3 linked regions of the Lonchura striata genome follow. The protein of the gene in region 1 interacts with the protein of each later gene in a pairwise test. Links are inferred from orthologs where the notes say so. Each region holds a gene or a part of one and is shown on either strand. Other genes may lie near its edges.

Evidence for each region. The genes of interacting proteins can lie anywhere in the genome.
Region 2: the proteins of HMG20A (region 1) and RPP30 interact in binary tests that used the Homo sapiens proteins (3 or more experiments, as listed by UniProt). The two-hybrid records come from large-scale screens. The link is inferred for Lonchura striata from reciprocal best matches to the Homo sapiens genes HMG20A and RPP30.
Region 3: the proteins of HMG20A (region 1) and HPCAL1 interact in binary tests that used the Homo sapiens proteins (3 or more experiments, as listed by UniProt). The two-hybrid records come from large-scale screens. The link is inferred for Lonchura striata from reciprocal best matches to the Homo sapiens genes HMG20A and HPCAL1.

What each region holds. Positions count from the first base shown.
Region 1 is NC_134613.1:5,200,047-5,207,226, forward strand, and holds the start of HMG20A (high mobility group protein 20A), read left to right. Parts: upstream 1-4,161; 5' UTR 4,162-4,410; intron 4,411-5,906; 5' UTR 5,907-6,024; intron 6,025-7,180. UniProt on the Homo sapiens protein: Plays a role in neuronal differentiation as chromatin-associated protein. Acts as inhibitor of HMG20B. Overcomes the repressive effects of the neuronal silencer REST and induces the activation of neuronal-specific genes.
Region 2 is NC_134609.1:16,214,556-16,222,322, reverse strand, and holds the start of RPP30 (ribonuclease P protein subunit p30), read right to left. Parts: upstream 3,007-7,767; 5' UTR 2,966-3,006; coding exon 2,884-2,965; intron 1,378-2,883; coding exon 1,322-1,377; intron 1,007-1,321; coding exon 950-1,006; intron 307-949; coding exon 232-306; intron 1-231. UniProt on the Homo sapiens protein: Component of ribonuclease P, a ribonucleoprotein complex that generates mature tRNA molecules by cleaving their 5'-ends. Also a component of the MRP ribonuclease complex, which cleaves pre-rRNA sequences.
Region 3 is NC_134605.1:99,285,794-99,293,206, forward strand, and holds the start of HPCAL1 (hippocalcin-like protein 1), read left to right. Parts: upstream 1-4,407; 5' UTR 4,408-4,480; intron 4,481-7,413. UniProt on the Homo sapiens protein: May be involved in the calcium-dependent regulation of rhodopsin phosphorylation.

The sequences.
Region 1 (7,180 bases):
TTTGCACTATCAGGCAATCTCAAATCAACTCAGTCCACTTAAAGAGATATGGGAAAAGAAATTGCTTGAGTCACTCAGCTACTTTTCTATCTCGGGCAAAAGGAAAACTGAAAATTTCTTACACAGTTGATAATTTCTGCTTTTTATTTGGATAACACAGAACCCACAGCACTAGACCACAATTTATGGAAATTTCAGCTCAAATATTAGACAACTAGTTAGAATTGTTACCAAGTAAAAACAAGTAATTTATCTTTGTCGCTGATGTTGTAGAAATTCTAAAGCAGTCATGTTCTCCTCAGTGTACACTGTTGACTTGCTCCACTTTAACCTGCTTTAAAACAGTAAAAGTCAACTAGCAACTCTTACTCCAGTTTGCAGCCTGTATTTTTCCACTCTAGAGTTAAAACTGTATGGTAATGGAAATTCTGCATTATTGTGCTGATCCATATGAAACAATGGAATTATTTCAGCCTTAGGCCAATGTAAATCCCAGTGCAACTCTGGTCCTCACACAGCGGCTGTGTGGGAGCACAGGAAGGTGGGAAGACTGGTAATGCCAAGCAAGGCTCTGCAGACAAGGTCTCTGCACCAGCCTGTCACAAGTAATGCACTCACAGAACGGGCTCCAGCCATCCCTCCAGGTATCAGCATAGAGAACCCAAAGCCTTTTCCCATGGGTCTGGGGCTACACATCTCCTTCTCCAAAATCCATGGTACTTTACATACATAGAGAGTAGAATTTCCCTCACTGGTGATTTTTGGCTGCCACTAACAGCCAGTAAATTTGACATATGGCTACGAATAACTTGACATTCTCTCTCTCAACTTTGCTTCAACTATTAAACCAAAACATGTTCTACAGATTATTACTTTTGTCCTCAAAGTAGGTTAAAAACATCTGGAAATGTTAATAGCAGAGATATAAGAAAGTTAAATTTTTAGTTTCCCTGTCAATTGTTTTGTTTACCATCTCCTTTCACACCACAGGTACTCCACAACCTTCCCAGTGCTTTCCAGCAGCGCAGCACCACGTCCCCGTCAGAGCCGAGGCATTTGCATTTCAATGCCCTGCCCGTACCCGAATGTCAGCTCTGACACACCGACTGCACGGGAGGGAGCAGCTGGGCAGGATTCCTGCAGCAGCACAGCAAGTGGGGGCAGCGGGGTGGCAGGAGACAGCCCTCACCTCGGAGCCCTGCCTGGCAATCCTCTGGGCTCCCTGCTCCGGGGCTGGGCAAGAGAGGCTCCAACAGCCTCACTTAAAAAAAAAACTATTAACACCGCCTGAAACCAAGCCAACCTCATCAGAGAGCAATCAGAACAAGAGAAGCAGTGACACGGAGGAAAGCTGCAGATCCTTATCTCTTCAGAAAAAAGGGCAAAGACGACATGGGCCATTAGCAGAGATGGGATAGTGTGATCCTAAACCGGGATGAGGGGCAGCTGGAGGGAAAAGGGAGCCTAAGAGCAAAGACTAAACAGGAAAAGGGAAAAGGAAAGGAGACACACAGGCGGTTACGTTCAGAAACAAGGTAGAGAAAACATGTTACAAGTTGTTAACTTAGACTAAGCTTTCCACATACATATTTTTCCTAGCATGATACAGAAGGTTAACAGTAACTGTCGATGTCTATGACCCTTATCAATAGATTATAATAGCTATCATAATATTTTACTATCTTGTTTAGAGGAAAAAAAATTAGTCAACATTTAGGAGTCATTTAGACAAATAGAAACACCCCCCCCCCCCTTTATTTTTCTTTAAGTTGCTGATTCCAACCAATTCCCTTACTTGGAAAGTAAACAGGAAATAATACATATATTAGTAAACATGCCTGGAAATGGATTTTCTAAAGAGCTGAAAAGAAACACAAATTACTCAAGAAGTTGAAATGATATTTTGTCCCTTTGCTCTCTTTCACTGAAAGAACCATTAAACTGGCAGATATGTAGGAAATGCTGCTCCTTCAAACTAACTGTATGCTCTAAATCAAACCTTGCATCCATTATGAATTGCAGCTGAGTTAAAGTGCCTACCTGCAGCCAGGCCAGGCAGCAAAGTCTGCTGGCTCTTTGTTCTGCAGCTGGCAGCTCCTGCCCAGGCTCAGGAATCACACCCCACCTGCCACTGCTGTTCAGGTGAGGAAGGTGTAGTTAGGCCAAAGAGATCTGTTTAAAAAGGTATTTTAGGAAGTCTGTGAATGAAGTCATCTACATGGGATAATCTAGCAATAAGGTAAAGCCATCAGGAAATGAATACATAAGATTAATCATGGAAAGTTACTCATGGAAAACTGGTAATTCCTTCTTGCATAGTTCTGTATTTTAGAGAATAAAACAAAGTTTTCCTGAAAACACACTGAGCAGTAACTCTGCCAGGAAGATGCTTCATCTGGATAAAACAACTCACCTACTTTACAGACACAAGCTTTTAAGCCAGTATGAAACTAGATTAAGAGCTCTAACAATTCCATACAATCATGTACAATCTCCACAAGTATTTGCTGCTCTTGCTACACCTCTTGATTCAGTCTGTCTAGAGGAGGTTTTAAGTCATAAGTCACACAGAAGGAAGTACATCCAGTTTGTCACAAAGGTAGCTGTTCAGCTGGCAATTTTAAGCAAGTTAAACTTTCTAACTATAGAAACTAATTATTGGAATTCCATAAAGTCTTGTTTCCTAAAACATCTGTGTGTTCTTTCCTTCATGCCCATATATCTCTGTATGTTATTTTTTCTGTAAATATCTGGGAATGAAGTGTTTTAGCAGACATTAGACAGCCTTTATGCCTCAGTGAGGAAGGGGAAAAACTTTGGAGGCACTTAGAAAGCAATTAAAGAAGAATGAGCTCTATAAAAGTAAATGGCAAAGACCTAAAGCAAACACAAACTATGATCTCTGAGAAGGATCCCCCTATTAAATTCGAAGTCAGAGATCCACCAGACGATATTCCCCCTTGCCCCTGTGCTCACCTTGGAGCAGCCTGGCCATTCTGCATCAAATATCAGCTGCTCCACAACTAACAGAACTGCAAAGTATTCACATCGTTTCATTTGCTGTCCCAGCGCAAATCCCAGCTTTCCCAGCCCAGCCTCAACTTCACCCTCAGTAAAAACTGGCAAACAGACCGACCCACATACAAATCCAAAATAACCTTCGAGAGAAAGGACCGAGAGGATGGAATGCAGCTACACACGTACACGCTAACACGTAAAGCCTTTCAAGTCAGTAATTCGTAATAATAACAGAGCACGGACAGAGCCCCGGCAGGAACAGCATCCACCCGGCACCCACAGCAGCTTTATCCCGGGAAATTCCTCGAAGGTGTCAGCGCGGGGCAGGCGCTCCCCGGCAGGGCGCGGGCCCGCGCCGCACGCTCCCGGCCGCGCTGCGGGCTCGGGCAGCGCCGGGGCTGCCGGCGAGCACCGGGGCCCCGCGCCGCCAGCGGGGGCGAGGGCGGCGCGGCCCCGCGGGGCCCCGGCGCGGCTGCCGGCGCCAGACGGGCTCTGCGGGCGCCGCCGCGACCGGGACCGCGGCGGGGCGAGGGGCGCCGGGGGACCCGAGGGGAGGGAGTGACGGGCAGGCGGCGGCCGCGCCTCGCCGGAGCCCCGCTCGGTGCCCCCGCCCGCGGCCCCGCGGAGGAAAGCGGACCGCCGCCGCCCCCCGGCCTCCCCTCACGGCGCGAGGGGTCGTCACCCCCTCCCGCCCCTCACCTGGCAGGGGCTCGCCGGCCCCGCGGCGCCTCCCGCGAGGAGGCGGCGGCTGCGCCCAGGCGGCTCCGTGCGGGCTCGGTGCCGTTCCCGCCGGGCCCGCCGAGGACGCGGCTCCCGGGACGGGGCTGCGACCGCCGCGCCCGCGCGCAACAACCAACTCCGGGTGCCGCCCCCCGCGCGCGCACCGCGGCGGGGAGCCCCGCCCCCCGATCGCTCATTGGCCGCCGGCAGCGAGAGGGCGTGGCGCCATCGCGGGGCGGCGCGAGGCCCTCGGGCGGCCAGGGGAACCGCCGTGATAAGACTACAATTCCCGATGCGCACCGCGCGCGGGCCTTTAAATACGTACCGTCATCTCGCGCGTGCGTGTGCAGAAAGTGTGTGCTTCCGCCTGCGGTGGTGAAGTAGTCCCGCTGCGTGGTTTGAGCTCCAGCCCCGCGCTGGGCCGCTGAGGGAGCGGAGCGGCGGGCGCTGAGCCGGGAGCCCTCTCGGCTTTGCGGGCCTTCTCCCGAGGGGCTCCTCTGGGGGAGGCGAGAGGGCCGCTCTGAGGCGGGAGCGGAGGGATCCGAGCAGGCGGAGTTGTTAGGCGGCGGGCGCGTGCAGGACGCGCGGCGGCTGCGCGGGCTGAGGGGACCCGGCTGAGGGGACGCGGCCGCCCCCGGGACCCCGGCCCTGCGCCAGAGCCGCCGCCGGCAGGTCAGTGGGGACGGCCGCGGGCCCGCCGCCCCTCCTCGGCCGGCAAGGAGTCGGCGGGCGGCTGCGGGTGCTGTGGCCCGCCGTGAGGGGGGCTGGGGGAGCCGCCGGAGCTCACGGGGGGTGAGGGGGAAGAACCGGATGAGGGTCTAAGTGCTTGGCTTTCCGTATTCTCCATTATATATCTTTCCACGGTTCCCCCAAAGCGATATTTCATGGCTCCCTTGGTTCTATTTATTTGTCCTTTCTGTAGGTCCACTTAACGTTCCCTTGTCAAGCAGGTGATTTGTTATAGCGTGGTTTTCTTATACTTCTGTCCAGGTTTCCACATTCAGTTCCCCGTCCCTGGGGGAGTGAGTCTCTTGTGTCGAGGTGGTAAAAAGAAGCCCCGGCCCTGGGGCTGAAGACACCGGGGCCACGTGCCTTGCGAGGCGCCATTCATTCCCGTCCTCTGGAAAACCAGCGCGAGAGTGGAAAGGAGGAAGGGCAGGGCGAATATAAATAAAAGAGCTCCTGCTCTCTAGAGTAGCGTCCTTCAGCGTTTTTGGCTGCCCATTCCTGTCAATAAAGAATGCTTTTTATCATGCCTCTCTCAAATATGTAAATTTATTGGTTCGTCAGTTATCTACACGTAGTGCTCTTCTGATAGATTATAAAACGTACTCAGACATAGAAATTGAGAAAGGATAAGACAAAAGTGAAACAGAGATGGTATTTTAAGACATTATTTCATAAAGCTGCAGAAAATGCAGATTTTTGGTTTGCTTTGCATATGACCCCCTTGACCACTGTGCAAATTCTTCTGAAGTCATCATTCTAAAGAATGTAAACATAAACTGCCGATGAAAAGAAATATGTTTTCTTTTTTAATCCTGGCCACGTGTGCAGGGGTACAACCTATTTGAAGATGGTAAAATGATAGTGAAATGCTTTTTTACCTTCTCTTGGCTTTTTTCACACCTGTATCATATGTCTGTTAGAAGGGATGAGATATTTTGTATTTACAGAACTATATCACTTGGTGGAATATAATTCCGAGTTCAGGAAATTGGGGTAATCTGATAATTTTTTTCCCCCCTGTCCTTAGAAATCCGGCATGCCTTGAAATAGAACTTGAGAAGTTTGGCTTAGAAATGGTGTGCAAAACAGAGTATTTTGATTAGTCTTTAAAATCCTAAGTTAACTTTTATTTAGGATCCCAGTAGTTTTCAAAACAGAAAAATGAGAGGTTGTGTGATCTGACCACACTGTCTTGGTTATAAGTGGATTTTTTGTTCCTTTGGTTGCCCGTGGCGGGGCACACAGAGGGTATGTGGTGATAACATTTGTGGCTCAAAAAAGAGAGCAGAGAATTGTGTTCTTTTAGGTACCTGATGCTTGGGTCCAGCTCCTGGGTGTACCTAACTGTTAGAAGGTGACTATAACAATTTCTGGTGCTCTGCAGTAAAGCAACCACAAGGAGAGAGATTCTCACTGTTTTCCACCTTCTGCTCTTGCAGGGGATCTTCCCTGGCCCAGCTCAGGCTTGCTGTGTATGGCTGGCCAGGACTGCCCCCAGAACTGAGGAGAGGAGCTGATCGCCTCGTGCTTCTGGATTGCTGGATGCCAGCACTGACTGTGAGCTGTGCTTTTGCTTGTACAGCATCACGATGTTACTTTAAGTATCAGAGCACAGGAATGGAGAACATTGTGCACTGATGTGCTGGGCTTGACTTTGTAACCTTTGTTAGTGTCTGTTCCCAGTGAAGTTAAATAAAGGGTCACTCAGTATCCAGTGCCCATTAGCAGGGTGTGTCTCCTCACCTGCCACACCGGCTCAGCCTTTCCATGCTAATTGCTTCTTCTTGACTAAATAGGAATAAATAAACTGTTTTAGGACCAGTTATTCAATGGGATTTTTCTCAAGTTTACAGGCTCATACAAGTTTCTGAATTCTTGCTGTTTCACCCTCCTGCCCTCTCCAGGCTGTGGGTGAAAAATTTAAGTATTGCTGCCATGCACACAGAGCTGTGCTTGGTGTTTTTGAGTGTTGTGGCATGTGCTTTGAGGAATTGTTAGAGAATAAAGTAATAGAGACCCTCTTGATAATGATCTGTGGGAGGGATGGGTGACTCAAAGAAACAGGCCTGTACAATTTTGAGTGCAGTAGGTGAATACAGAAAGGTTGTCTTTTTTTTTTTTTTTCCCCAGTTGTTCATGTACCTTTAATAAAATGCTGTTTCAATCTGAAATGCGAGTGGCTTGGGAGTCCCAAAATGAAGTTGCTCTCTGAATTCTTTCTAGCTTTTTAAATTTTTTTACTTCCATGATTTCCCTTAGAAAGAGAGGGGAAATGTTTCTTATGTTCTTGGGAGCTGTTAAACTTCTGCTATTTTTAAGACAAGAAGAGTGATCAATAAACACAATTCAACATGAGGTATGAATTACTAAGTGTAGTTTGTTTTCAGAAGCCACTGTTTTTTTGAGAGGATTGGTTTATGAAAGCAGGTAAGGCTAGTTGATGGCTATTTGAAATACACAGTCAACTGGTAGCTAAAGCTTTATTGATGTAGGTCAGGCTCCGTGGCAAGGTGAGCAGTGTTGGCCATATTGTGTTGTCTGACTCCAGGAGTGGCTCCTTCATGTCCAGTGGCATCAGCAGCACAGCTGTTGGCTCTGATGGTAGCTGTTAGTTTTTACTGGGAGCTGGCCTCGATGGTCCTTGTGGGTCCCTTCTGTATTCCGAATTCTGTATTCTGTGGTGCAAACTTGTAGTCTGATACTGGACCTTGAA
Region 2 (7,767 bases), on another chromosome or scaffold:
GGAAACCAAGGAACAGAACTGTTGTTCCATACTGAAAATGATCAACAGAAGCCATATACAGTCTTGTAAGCCTGCATCTCCTCATGATCACATTATTTGTTAAAGATGCAATCTCAGAAATCACTGCTGAGTGCCCTATAAATTCCAGGATGTTATCCCCATAGAATTTCCAAAGTTTCATTCATTCATAAAGAAATAGAAGTTGCAAAATTGACTGCTGAGTATACTTACCAAGAGATTACAGTGGGAAGGATCAGAAACAACAAGTGTTAAGCGGGTCAAGACTTTAATTCTTTTAGATGTTCCCTACAGAAAAAAAGGATAATATAAAAAAAAATTAATAATCCAAAGCAAAAATTTGTGGTAATTTCCACCAGTCTGCTATAAAAAGAAAATGGTGTCTTGATATATCTCTTTGATATTATACCTGTCCTTACAAAGAATGACTTACTGTGTTTCTCTGGAGAAGGATAAATAGAAAAGGAAAGAAAAAAGACAAACAACTATGCAGAAAAATTGAGTATGTTTTACTACTGTTGTGATTCCTCAGGCAGGCCACAACAGCAAGTAAAAGCAGTTCCTGAATTAATGAATGTCAGTGATTCAAAACATATTATTGTACTTTTTTATATCCAAATTTTGCTCCATTGAAACCACAAAGTTATTTCCAAAACTTAAATTTCAAGAACTGTACTGTAATTATTCAATTACTAGCAGATTCAAAATTCACACAAAGAAATTTCTTTAATAATTTCTAAAATAATGAATAGAGCTTACCCTGATGTGAGCTAACTATTCTTCCTATGCTTGGAGGTTTAACCATGAAACAATGGACAAATTTTTCTTTTTTGATTAACACCTCATACGCAAAATCACATATACAAACACACAAAGGTAAAAAAGGGTAATTCAGAATAACAGTATATATAGAGAATGCAACTAGACATACTTGTACAATAGGTAAAGATGGAAACAACTCTGAAGGGGATACTGGCTTGATGATTTCCTTGAAAGAGAAGAAAATAAAGTTATTAAAACTGTTATGGGTTAGGTTTACATGTAAACAAAAACTGTGTTCCAATCTTAAGAAATTCACCACACTAAGAAAACTATTTTTGTGGGACAGTACATGAAGCAGATTAAAAATTAATCCAAAGGCAGTTTTACTGCAATATAAAATGGGAGTTTTGTTACAAATACAGAGATTTGTACTTGTGTCTAGATGTGCATTCTGTAGCTAAAGCTATCTGGAAACATGCAGTAACGAAGCAGGTTTACTAAGGAAAAGACAGTAAGACCAAATAACCCCAAGAAAAATTACCTGTTTCTTTTCTTTAAAGTCGATGACATGATTAAGTGCAACTGCAGAATACCCCACTGAAAAACACATAGTAAGAATATTTTGTCAAGTAAACAAAAAGACAATAAATCCAATGAGAAAACCGTAAAATAGTCATTACTTAAATGTCTTAAGGTTAATAACCATGTGCATGTTTAGATTTCACAGTATTTTTTAAAAAGACTGGTTCACCCAAAAAAATACTTTAAAACAGAAAAAAAAAATCTATTTGGTTTTTAGCCTAGTCCAGGCCTTTCTACTCTTACTCAATCGCAGAGCTTTATGAACACAAATACATGGGCTTGGTGTCCCCAAAGGTCTAGCTTAGTTTGGCCCTGTTTATGACTTTCTCTATGGAAAACTGCTAAGTATACTCAGCACAGCTGTTAAAACTGCAGACAACGCAGAGCCGGCAGAGATACAGCTGTCGGAGAAGGCAAAGCGAGCAATTCAAAACGATGCCGACTACACGGAGGAGAAGGTACCGCTCAAAGGGCTCTGAGGAAGAGACGCCAGGGGCGTTTAAACCAGCCGCCCAAACCCCGCACAGGCAGCACGTGGCTGACAACAGCTCTGCAGGGAAAGAGCCGAGCCCTAGAAACTGCAGGCGGAAACACTGGTCCACGTTGGGGAAAAAACAGCTGTTACGCTGGGATACACAGGGAGAGGCAGAGCTGCAAGGCGCATCAGGAGCTTCCCCAGCGACCCCGGCCCAGGCAAACCCCGACCCGGGCAGACCCAGCCCCGGGCAGTCCCAGCCCCGGGCAGACCAGATCCCCGGGCAGACCCGGCCCGGGCAGACCCGGCCCCGGGCAGACCCGGCCCGGGCAGACCCGGCCCGGGCAGACCAGATCCCCGGGCAGACCCGACCCCGGGCAGACCAGATCCCCGGGCAGACCAGATCCCCGGGCAGACCAGATCCCCGGGCAGACCCGGCCCCGGGCAGACCAGATCCCCGGGCAGACCAGATCCCCGGGCAGACCAGATCCCCGGGCAGACCCGGCCCCGGGCAGACCCGGCCCCGGGCAGACCCGGCCCCGGGCAGACCCCGACCCGGGCAGACCCGGCCCCGGGCAGACCCCGACCCGGGCAGACCCCGACCCGGGCAGACCAGATCCCCGGGCAGACCCCGACCCGGGCAGACCCCGACCCGGGCAGACCCTGTCTCGGGCAGACCCCGACCCGGGCAGACCAGATCCCCGGGCAGACCCCGACCCGGGCAGACCCGGCCCCGGGCAGACCCCGGCCCCGGGCAGACCCGGCCCCGGGCAGACCCGGCCCGGGCAGACCCGACCCGGGCAGACCCGGCCCGGGCACTGCGCTGGCAGAGCCGCGGGCGGAGCGCACGGAGCGCAGCGGCGCCGGGGCGGGTGGCGATGCCGGCCTGCCCGGAGGGAAGGGAAGGCTCATCCCGGGGATCTGTGCCCACCCAGCCCGCAGGCTCCGGCTGCGCCTGCCGAGCCGGGGAAGCCGCCGCCGCTCGCGTCCCGCCGCCTCTGGCCGGGGCCGGCCCGCGCTCCCAGCCCAGCCCCACCGGGACTCACGGTGCGCCGCGGCCTCCAGCAGGCTCTGCAGGCACTTCTTGTCCGCTCCCTGCGGCAGGTTCAGGTCGGCGAAGCCGGCCATGCTGGCGGGCGGCGGGCGGGCCCAGCCCGGCGCGGAGCGGCGCACGGCGGCCCCGCCCCTGCCGCCCGCCCGCGGCAGCCTGGGCCCTGTAGTCCCGCTGTGCCGCGCCCCACACAGCCCTGCTGCCTCGCCACGGGACTGCGGTGGGTGGGAAAGGCTGTGGGGTGGTGCCTTAGGCCCTGGAGATCTCCCGTGGTTCGTTCCCAGCAGCGCAGCCGGGCTGTGAGAGACATCACGGCTCTGCATCCCCCGGGCCCGCCGCTCTCCGCCGCCGGCCGAGGCCCGGCGCCCCTGAGGCGCCGGGTGCCCGCCAGGTGGAGCGGTAACCCTGCTCCAGTGCCGGGTTTATCCCCTGTGAAACTGCTTCAGCTCTGTCTGAGCGTTGCCAATAAAAATCATAGCCAATCTTTTCTATGTATAGTTTCATAGCTATTCTCTTTCCTACAAAGCCCCGAGCTGCCATGTCAAAATACCCCTGACGCCGAAGAGGACAGATGAATTCTCACAGACCGATGAATCAGATAAAAGTTCACTGTGTAGCACTGCCACAAAAAGTACTAATATTGTTCTAATGCTGGCAAATGGCACAGAATATGTAAAATACAAATAGAAATTCTCAGTAGGCGGTTTTTGGTGACTTAGAGCAGCCGCTAAAGATAGCAGGTTTGCAATTCCTGTCCAAGTTCAGGTGGCCAGACCAGGGGGTCTTTCCCTTTTTCTGTCCTCAAGTTGAGCTAAATGCTCACCAGGGGACGTCTGTGGAGTATCTGGAGCCCTGAATTCTTAATAAGGTAAAAATGCTTCTAACCAAGGCCAAGGCTGCTGCCAAAGCGTGAACATCCCTCCTTATAGGGTCTGACCTTGATGCAGCTTGTGCAAGCTGTGTCCATGGGAATTGTGGGGACCTGGGATTCATTTCTACCAAAGACATCATGGTTAACAAAGTATGGCTGAGAAACAACAGTGCTTTCTCGGCGTGTTTCTGGACTTCCTGTGTGATGAGTTGCAAATACCTGGGATGATGGTAGCAGAGAAGCTACTTGTGGCTGCAGACACTGGACTAGGAGTTGAAGCAGCTTTGAGGGTCAGCAGAAAGCAGCTCCCACATCTGTATGGCAGGAAAAATCCACATCACTCTGAAAGGGGTAAAAACCCCCAGCTGGTAAGCTGTCATTGTTCATACCACATCTATGGCAACATTGTTTTCTTGACCATATTAGATCAAGATATTTCAGTAAAGAAGCTCTGTTTTAGTCCATCTACATCTGTAAGGTGTTTGCCTGTGACACCACATCAGCCAATACTGCTCCTCTGCCAGCCAACTGAACAAGCAGCACAGCCTGAATGGTATTGCCAAGGTCTTTCTTCAATGTGTGTGAAAACAGAACAGCTCAAGATATTATTCTAGGTTTTCAGTGTTTGATTTGAGTTGATTTGTCTTAATGAATGTAAAAAGCAATCCAGAATCCATTCAGTTATTTCTGAATGGCCCTACTGCAACAGTGTTCAGAAATACCAAAGATTAAGCAGCCTTTGTGTTTGGCAGTATACAAGCAAAAGAAACCCTTCTTTGAGGTTCTTAAAATGGAGGACATTTAAACAGATCTTCATGCAGAAGATCTACAGAACCCTATTTTCTGTAATGGTGTAAGAATCCAAGTACGAAGAACTTTTAGCACCAGGTATCACAAATTGTACTTAGAACAGTGCACAGTCTTATTTTCCATGTTATTATTTAGCTATTACTGCTTTTACATACGTCAGACCCAGTGATTTGGGGAGAATTTCCTTATGGTACTCACTGTTAAGCTGCAAGCTTCTAACATGCTTTGTTTCATTGTTGTCATTAAGTTCTCCTTGGTGAAAACTTATCTCCTCATTCCAAGTGTTTCTTTCTCAATACACTTAGACCTCAAGACTGTCCTTTCAGTAAATTTTAATGCAGAGACCATCACAATTCTTCTAATAGGTTTTCCATGGGCAGCCCCTGGTAGCAACTGTTAGGGTGTTTTTGCTTTAGTTCTGCATTTGGCACTTTTTGGGTGCTAAGATTTTATTTATTACTACCTACCTCAGCAACTATAAGATTTTATTTATTACTATCTACCTCAGTAGCATGAGTGTCACAGCCACTTTCATCATAACCTCATAATCTCCACTGTAAAGATAAGATGGAGTTTTCAGAGTTGGGAGCTCTCATTTTGAGTGATACAGAATTTTAAGCATAAATGTCATCTTAATTGTTCATTTTCTTTTCAGATGCCAGTTTGTCATTGTTAGGATTTGCTGGTTCCAGAAAAGGACAGACATAATTTCATATTTAAGTTGCACAGATGAAAGTATTTATTTTGACAATGGTAAGAAATGGCCAAATACGGGAATAGTTACCTCTCTGTTTTACTGCCACAGAGTGATGATGATTTATCTTCACAAAGACAAGAAAAGGCAGAAAAGTGCAGCTGCAACTATTTTCTAGAAATTAGACAAGTGTTATTTGCTAAACAGTACATGCTGGGAATAAAAATCAAGGTTTCAGTAATACCTCTAGAAAGCAAAGAAAAGGAAAAGAAAAGAAAAGAAAAGAAAAGAAAAGAAAAGAAAAGAAAAGAAAAGAAAAGAAAAGAAAAGAAAAGAAAAGAAAAGAAAAGAAAAGAAAAGAAAAGAAAAGAAAAGAAAAGAAAAGATATGACAGACAAATTAAAACAACAGCTTGAGGAGATAAGCTCTCTCAGGCAAGGAAGGACAAAAGAGGGGATGATAAAAAAGAACAAAAAAAAATTCTGATCTGTTTATTTATTGCATTGCATACTCATGTTACCTTCCTGCCATATGTACAATACTGGATGGTTTAAGAAGGGGAACATAGCAGTACCTCAGCTTTTCCAGCTAAGATGAGCAGAGCTATTGTTTTCTAGAGGCAGCTGCGTGAAGGAAGGTGTTACCATGCTGGGCTGTCAGCGTTTTCTCCTCTGGTGCTGAAGCTCTTGTACTGCATTCCTTGACCCATTTCAGTCAGGATCCTCCACGTTAGCACAGACCTGCTGTCTGTGCTAGCATCAGATCCTCCAGGGAGGGATGAAGGATCCAGGATTTAATGCAAGATTTTTCAACATAAACACTTTGACAGATACAGTCTGGCCCCACTAAATCAAAATGTGTTTGGGAAACTGTATTTCCTTGCCTAGCCCTAATGACCTGTCTTACCTTATCTCACTAACATGGCAGCAAAGAATTGATAGCAATACCCACTGCAATAGTATACACTTAGTATCAATAACAAATGCTGAAGATGTTATGTGATTAGCACTGTTTCTGGAGGAGGGGAAAAATTAAACAGAGGAATTAACTACTTTGGGAGAGGGAAAAATGAAAATAAAAGGTTCTCTTGCATTTTTTTCTTTTTATAATCTGAATATTTTCTACATAGCAATAATAAAATACCAAAGGTGAGATTTGCAAATAAAGTACACTATCAAATATTAACAAAATAGTTTAACTTTACTAAGTGCAGAAAAAAAACTTGGCACAGAATTGGAGGTATATGGAAATATTAAGAGGCTTTTATGCATAGAGAGCCTAAATTACTCATAAGACAGGATTCTACTAAGCTCAACCAGAAAAATGATTTGATTGTATTTTTTGAAGCCTAATGGAAGGTTAAAAAGCAATTTCTTGGGTAGAGAACAAATGTCAGCTTGTTATTCTTGACACCTAATTGGACATTTGTTTCACTTCTGTATTCTATCTGAAACAACATTATTAGAATTTTTAAATATGATCACTGAAAACAAAAGTGGGATGTACCCTTGGAAAGACGAAGTCCCACTTTCATGTGTTGTTATTTTAAGTGCCTAGACTGGATGTCATCTCATGGAATGATGGATTCTCTTTGCCTTTCTGGACACTTGGCCATGTGAAACCCTCTAAACCCTCACGGAAAGCACCTCACTGGATTCAGCCCAGCCTGGGAAACTGGAAGTTATTTTAGGTGTGTCCTAGTAAAAAGCTTTCAAGGAACATATTTTAGTAAGGTGTCAGCTGCTTTGTCTTGGCAGGGTTTTTCACATCTTCTCTGCAGTAGTACATAAATCCCTTTCTATAATGATACATAAATTGACTTAAATTGGTTTGTTTCTTCAAAGGTAAGATTACAACAGCAAATCAAAGAGTGGTAACATGGCCTTTGAGTAGGAAAGAAATCAGGTGATTAACTTGGAATGGACTGTAAGGGAATTTAAGATACAGAACAAAAGATACAATTCAGTCCTACTTTTGGGTTCGAGTGGGTAGGAGTCATCCGTACCCTACCAAATGATCCTGTGTATCATCCACTGAGAACATTTAGAGAATCACGTCCCAGAAGGGTATTGAAAAGCTGTGGAGAAGAATGACTGATTTAATGAACTGTGTTAACTCATTTGCAGGAAGCACCAGATTATAATTTGCTCTGCCTTAGTGACATTTTAAGCAACTGAAAAATTGCTTTTACTAGGAGTATTAAACTGTACAATTTTATCAGCCTTTGTGATAAGAATCTATTTTGAACAAAATTTACTAAGTTCCTAACTCCTTAGCTGTTCTTCAAATGCTATTTTTGAAAAAATATGTTCAACCAATAAGGAAACATTCTCTCTACAAGTTTTGCCTTAATGTTTTAATTTAGATATGTCCTTGCCTTTTCTAAAGGCCTTTTTCTTCCTAATATTTACTTAACTGAGGACAAAAGACTTCATTTATCACCTGGTGGGGTAACTCACCTGAGGCTCAAGGTTGATGAACACATTATGGGTGGTTAGCAGTTA
Region 3 (7,413 bases), on another chromosome or scaffold:
CCTTCCAGAGAGAGCTGCTGTCACTGTAGGTGTCCTAATCTTGTAATCTTTCTTCCAAGACCCTGAGCAAGATACCACTAGAGCTAGAGAGTCACACACAATATTGGTTTATGGCAATAGGTTAAAATAAAGGCAAATGCCTGGGTACTTGAGCATATTCTGGCTTGATGCAATCTTGATGCAATTTAGCAGCTATTCCAGCTAAACTTAGACATTGATAACAGAGGTCCCCTGATTTGGAACAAACCAGGTATTTCCTTCTTGGTAATGCCTCTGACACCCTGAATTTGGGCAAGTTTTGATTTTTAGGGACCTTTGTAGCGGCATGCAAATGGCCATCAAATGCCACTGATTCTGCTGGGTGAGGTCTGGCACTAAAAGCTTCCTTAATTTCCATAGGCCCCTGCTGGACTCTTTCCTCACTGATCTGATTCCTAGCCAGAGCATAAACCAGAACATAAACCCATTGACTGCAAAGGAGGGCCACTGAAAAGGCCTGGCCTTGTTTATGCACATGTGTGTTTTACCTCTAATGGAAAAGAAACGTGGCAATTGTTCATGTTGGTAATTGTTGGTTTTGGTAATGGCTGTCCTTTTTCATCTACCCCCTTTGAAATATCAATTAGCTTTCTTGCTTCTTCTCTGATGAGCTAAACAGGGTGGCCTTCCTGGAGGAGGATTCAATCAACATGCAAATATCAAATTATATGGAGAATAGATGACGCCTCTGTCTCAGCCTTTGTGAACTTAATTCATAAAGCGTCGTAAGCAAAATAATTGCTTCTTTTTTGAGTCTGTAATTGCCAAGTACACTATATTTGCTGTTCAGGAAGAAATTATCACTGTGCTATCAGATAAAAATCTGGAGCTAATGGGAAACACAAAATTTAATGTCAGGGAAATACAAAACAAGGTCATGTAATTTCTGCACATAATTATGATAGTGTAAGGCCTAATTCTGCAAGACCATGAAATTCATCCACTGAACAGAAGTCCTGATAAGACAGGTAATTCTAGGAGTGGATTCCTATTTAAATAACAATTGTGAATAACATTCTTAACTAGACTTAAGTTGGGATAAAAAGGCATTGTGGTAAACATTCAGATAAGGCACATTAGATTTGATCATAAGATGCATATGTAGATAATTCTTTAAAAGTTTCAGGGAGTCAGCTGACTTGTTTTTGTCACATATAGCTCTTTAAAGCAAAATAAAAGAGACTGATGATTAGGGAGATAGTATCTCAGTTGCTAATTTGTGGCAGAATTTGAGAGCAGATGTTCTTACCCCAGATCAGTGATGTAGTACAATCAGGCAGGTTTCTTTTGACTGTGGTATTTTTGTGGATAGACCAGATCAAGGAGATGGAACTTCTCTTGAAAAGCAGATGAAACATGTAAAACCAAAAAATACCCCACCTTTTAAGCAAAGAAAATGTGACTAGAGCAACAATGTAAAGGAAGGGTGTTTAATGCTGAACTCTCATGTGCTGAACTTGCCAAAGCAAAATACCTGTAATGCTGTTACCAGCTTCAAAGCCTTGCGTTGGTAGCGTTGCCCCCCGAGTTAATGCAGTGCTCCTGCAATAGTTCAGGCAGCACAACACTGACAAAGCTGATTTTAAAAAAAAATATTAAATGAGGAGGAGAAAAAAAAAATACCTCTTAATGCAAAACAGGAATAAGTAATGGCATGAGATAAAATAAGAGGTAAGGACTAGACTTCTGTGCAGGTTCTGCCCGTCACGGGATGTCCTGGAGCAGTTCAGAAAGGACCATGCCCATCCCTGGGGTCAGCACCCAGCAGGCAGCAGGAAGGGATAACTGGATAATTGCAAGTGCACGAGGAGTGTGAATGAGTGGGGACAGGTGGAATCACAGCTGTGGCAGGAGCACTGCTGGAAGCACTTCCCCTGCCCAGCTCTCCCAGCCCTGGCAGCTGCTAGCAAAGGGACCAGGCTGGCCACACTTCACGTGGCTTGGCCCTTGGGGATGACAAGGTGAAGTGCTTTGCAAGGGTGAGAAAAGGCCTCAGGTGTCTGTGTTCACATCAAAGGAGACAATCTGCCACAGCAGCTGGGAGCCAGTAACTGAGGCAACTTGGTGCCCAGCACTGAGCTCACGTGTCATAGTGCAGAAACATGCTCCGTCTTTCCATGTATGATGCCTTGATGTGTCATAGTTGCATTCCTTCTGACAGGAGGCAGAAGCACCTCTTTTACTCTGCTTTTGTTGCCACTTGACACAGTTCATGGAAGTGAACATGGTTGTGCCTTGGACTAGGTGAGGGAGTAAGCAAGCTCTGCCACAAATGCTGCCAACTGAGAAGTAAGATTATCCCTTGGAGAGAGATTTTCATTGCTATTAGATAAATCTAGTTAGGTTTCCTTGTGCTTACATTTATGAGCATGCTTGAATGAAGAAAAGACATACTCCTTTTTCAGGATTCTCCTGCTGCCTAGGCACTCTGTGTCTCTGCTGCTTTTCTCCCATGTGTTGGTAGCTGCTGGGAGCAGCCACAGCCTTTGCCAGCTGAAACTGCAGCTTCTCACACAACAGGACCCCAAGCCAGGGCATCTGGATGCTATCATAGGGTCAACAGCAGCCTATGGGTGGAGTCACACAACATAAAATTTGGGAAGAAGAGACGTTAATATGGGACATCTACTGTTGCACTCCTGAATTTCAGAAACTGATACCTTCTGCATACACATGCTGCCCTGTAACTGGGATTATTGACAGGATTGACAGTGCTCTCATAGTATCGGCGTGACATTGCAGTAATCTTCATCTCTTTCATTACCAGCTCCAGAAATAAAGGATATCTTATGTTGGCATCTGCATTATTTGCAAGATGTTCTCACTATTCATCACAATAATTTTGTTTCTTGTCTCTTTCCTCTTCTCCCCTTCTGTGTATAAATGCAGCATATTATCTAGGTTCCATGATATTTTTTCTCTTATTGTTTCTCAGAATTGTATTTCCACATAAGACTGACTATGCAGTCTGATATTGCTTCCTTTATGAGAGTATTAGATTTCTCAAGAGATGAAATATGGACACTATTAGATGGCATTGACTTTTTTAAAGCTGTAAGTAGTGGCTGATAAAATCAGTAACACAGATCATTTTAAGTGACCTTTCATCCTAATAATTCTTTGGCTTTGTCTGATACGGAAATTAATTTTACATAATGTGAGAAGATATATGTATGAGTCTTGAAAGAGCATATTTTCTTCTGAGTTACTGAAACTTGCAGCTGTATTTTCTCTTTGAAGTTTGTGTCATTCTCTGTGGTAAATGACTGAAGATGCTCTCTGTCTGTGTTAAAATTTTGTGCAGTGGAAGATGTGGCTAATGTGAGATGGAGGTATTGTGGTCACACTGTGAGAGTTTTATCACTCCATGAGGGTCTGCAGGAGGCCATCTATGGCTGACCCTGCTTGCCTGTTTGAAGGTGGGTGTTTGCAAGGGTTCATTTTCAGAGACAGCAACACCTCAACCACAGTGATGTCAGTAAGGCTGGTGTTGTGAAGGCGGAGTGGCAAAGGGGACTCTGCAGTGCTGGAGTCCTCTCCAGGGCTGTGACAGCAGCTGGAGAAAGCGAGTGTGGCTGAGGATGAGGGTGGTGGGATGAAGCTGCCTGCCCAGGGATTGCGTTGTGCAAAGAGCAGCTTGTGATCTTCAAGGAGAAAGGTTTGCATAAGGAGCTGAAAAAAGGTCCAGCAGATCCATAACCTGGAGTTATTGGGTTTTCTCCATTTACCGTGGATGGATGGGTAGAATAGATCCCCAAATCCAGAAAAGCCAATGCCCCAGCCTCCCCTGGAAAGGAGCTGCAGGTACTCACTAAGTGGAAGACTCCAGCTCCCATCCTTGTCCAGAGACCATTGTCTCTGTCTGCACCTGTGAAAGAAGACTGCGTTGGGAAAAGCATCCTGTGGCACTGGGACTGGGGTGGGAATGGAGTCAGAGAGTGCAGCTCCTGCTGCTGCTGGAGAGGGACTAATGGCACCTCCTTTATCTGCACCATGGATATGGAAAGAGTGAGCTGGGGGAAAGCTGTGCTTGTGACAGAGAAGTGATATTGTTGATTCATATTGTTGTAGCATTCAGAGGGCAACTTTTGGGTGTCTGCTGTGTTGAATGCTGGGTGAACATGTAATTGCCATCAACAAATGAGAGCAAATGTCAGTTTTACTTTGAGGTGAGAACCCCCTTTAATTGAGGGTAAACTATAGCCATGAAAGGCTCAAATTACTTGAAAATTTTATGTTCTGCAGTATGGTGCAGTAATACAGAAAAACATCTTTTGTGGATGTAACACATGGAGCTGTAACACATGACCATTGAAGGGCTTCCATCAGCTTCTGACTCAATCTTTCATTTTTTGTCTTTCAGAACCTGTAACTGGGCATTTTAAAGGGGCTAAACATGACTGCTGGCACCAAAATTTGACTTTATTTAACGGCATTTGAGGTAAACCTTGTTTAGTATCTAATCTTTTATTTTACTAAATAGGAAGATTATTAGTAGTAACTTGTATTTCATTACCTTTTCTCTGTGCTTCCAGACTCTTGGAGGAGAAGAACATTTAAATTCTCACAGCTGTGTGAATTTAGAATTACTAAACAATTTCCATTCTCAACTCCTGTTTTCAGTTGATTCTCCCTTGTCAAATAAGATTGAATCCAAATTAATTACATGTTATACTACCTATCCCAGGGGTTGGTGACTTTGCAAGCTTCAGCAAATTTGATCCATCAAATTTGGAAAAAGCCTGACACAAACCAGTTTAATTTCCTTAAGCCAGAATTCTTGGAGCTCTTTAGCCTGAACTGCAGTGCCTCATTTTGGAGCAGGAAATGAAGCTCAGTAGGAGGGTTTGATTTACAACTGGATCAGTTTTCAGTTTTCCCTCTCCTCAAATCTGGCCAAGACATAAACCTCTGAAAAACAACTTCACTATTTCACTTGCACTTTAGCTATATGGTGCTGAGGGTAAGTTCTCAGATGATTTCATCTCTGGACTTAAGGCTCCAGCCCAACATCATCTCAGGAACTCTTCCTCTGTAATTGGGCATTGGAGCCAAGGATGAAGGAATGCCACCCTTGCAGTTCAAGCATATGGATGCATAAGGCAAAGCTGTGAAAAGCAGGTGGAGACAGACTAGTGAGTGGAGAACAGATGTAGGGATAGACAGGGTAATCTGGATGGTAGGAATAGGAGCAGGGCAAAAAAGCTGAGTAAGGAGCTGGGATATGAAGCTAGAGAAGACAGTGGGGAGGCAGGTGGGTTGTAATCAATGGAACATATGTCCTTCTAAGATCAAATTCAGGATGGGTGAGTTTCTTCAGAATCTTCCCCAGCAAATGGACTGAAAATAATATCAACATTTTTAAATTCACATAAAATGTGAATGTCCTCCTACATAGAAGGCAAGGGTTTGCTGTCAGCTCCATGAGCTGAGTTTGAAGGGATTCACAGATTGAAGCAGCCCAATTTGGTAAGGACTGCTTTGGGGTGGAGCATAGAGGTGATTTCAGTGCCTCATACGCACAAGAGATTATAGTGCTAGTGCATCAGAGTGAGCCAGAAAAGCACTGAGACATTTCAGTACAAGGTCTCCTCAGTCACTGTGTGGGACAAGTCACCACAGAGGAACACTGCTGCCATATTAAGCATATTAGTCTCTAGTGATAGCATTTGAACAATACCATCAGAATGCTGGCAGACATGTTTCAGAACACTCTAATATCTTGTATAATATCAGCTAAGGAATGAATTGCTTTTCCAAGCTTCATCAAGAGAACTGGGTCAGATTGGCAGAGCACATACTGCAGGGTACGTGACACTTCTAAGGAGAGAAGTACAGGATACAGGATATACTGAATTTAATACCTTTTGTATTAACCCTGACAGCAGAAAACAGCTCTGTGTGCTTCTGTGCTAGACCTGAAGTGATCCATTCCCCATACATGCTGAACCCTAGCACTTATTGCCATCTGGGTTAAGGGTCTGCTTTTCTCCTCGAGAAAAGGACTGTGAAGGGTTGACAGCATTTGAGCAGGGTTGATGCAGAGACATAATTAAAGGAGAAGGCAGGTATTAAAATTAGTGGGTAGCCACAGGGCATTGATCACAGGAAAGTGACAGTCCTGCAGCTGGAGCACAGACAGCATGATACCTTGGCTGGGAGAAGAAGTGAAAAGCTGGCAAAGTGAGGGATGTAGCTGAGACATGAAGGAAGAAGGATTGGGATGGGGGGTGTGTGTGGAGTGTTTTGTGCTTCCATTTAGTGCCAGGGAGATGTGAGCAGCAGTATTTCAGTTGTAAGTGACTGATGCAGGCTTGGTTTGAAGAAGTACCCTTGAATCTCTGCAAAGTATTTTTTGGAGGTAACATTTGCAAGAGCAATACATTTTCAATACAAGATCAGTGCTCTCAAATCCAACTGAGGAGGCTTTTGTAGAAGATGATTCACCTTGCAGGGAGATCAGGTGCACCTTTGTTGGGGAAGTAGGGCCAGGAGACCATTGAGCAGTGTCAGCAGACCCCCAGAGCAGCAGCTGAGGGACTGTTGGCTCTCAGACCTCTCTTGAGTGCAGTTATGACATTCCTCCAGGGAAGGAACCTCTCCTGTGCTGCAAATTACATCCTGACTTTGACCACCTTGATGGGGTGTAATACAAACCATCCTATGGGTCACTGAATGATCGTTTGTAGACTGTTAAAAATATGAATTTGGAAGAGCAAGCTCAGTTAATTGAATTTACTCATTTGGAAATTTTTCCTCAAGCCTTGTTTGAGATCTGCATGCATTTAGTATATGCATGTCTTGTAAGTGCCAGAAGAAAATGAATATGCAGGTCATGAAACAGACCTTTGGATGGCCTCTCATTTAGGGAAGTGAAGGGATATTTCAAGCAAGGCTGAAAAGTTTCCCTCCAGGGCAATGCTTTTCTGGTAGAGATGGCTTAAACTGTCCTTTTTGATCACCATATCAATACAAAGAAGTGTGTTGGGGTCTTACTTTTAAAACCCTCAAATACTAGATTTACCAAAAACACATAATGTAACAATTTAATGTTAATGATATATTAATGTAAATTTCATATTTAGTGCTGCCTCACCTGTACTTGGACTGAGACTAAAACAAAGCAGTTCCTTGGCCCTGTCCCCTTCAGTCTCAGCCCCCAGCTGAGACCAAGCTCAGGGTTTCATTCCTGCAGAGTGAAAGGAGAAGTTGGCCTAATGTGGACCTGGGCAGTGTCTTGATCCCTCTAAATCCAGCAGAGCCTTACAGATATTGTGCATAGCACTGTGGGCTTTTTCTTGCCTTGCAAAGGTCTGCATTAGAGAAACGTGCCTCGGGACACATTTTCAGGGAAGAAGTAATGTGCTCAATATA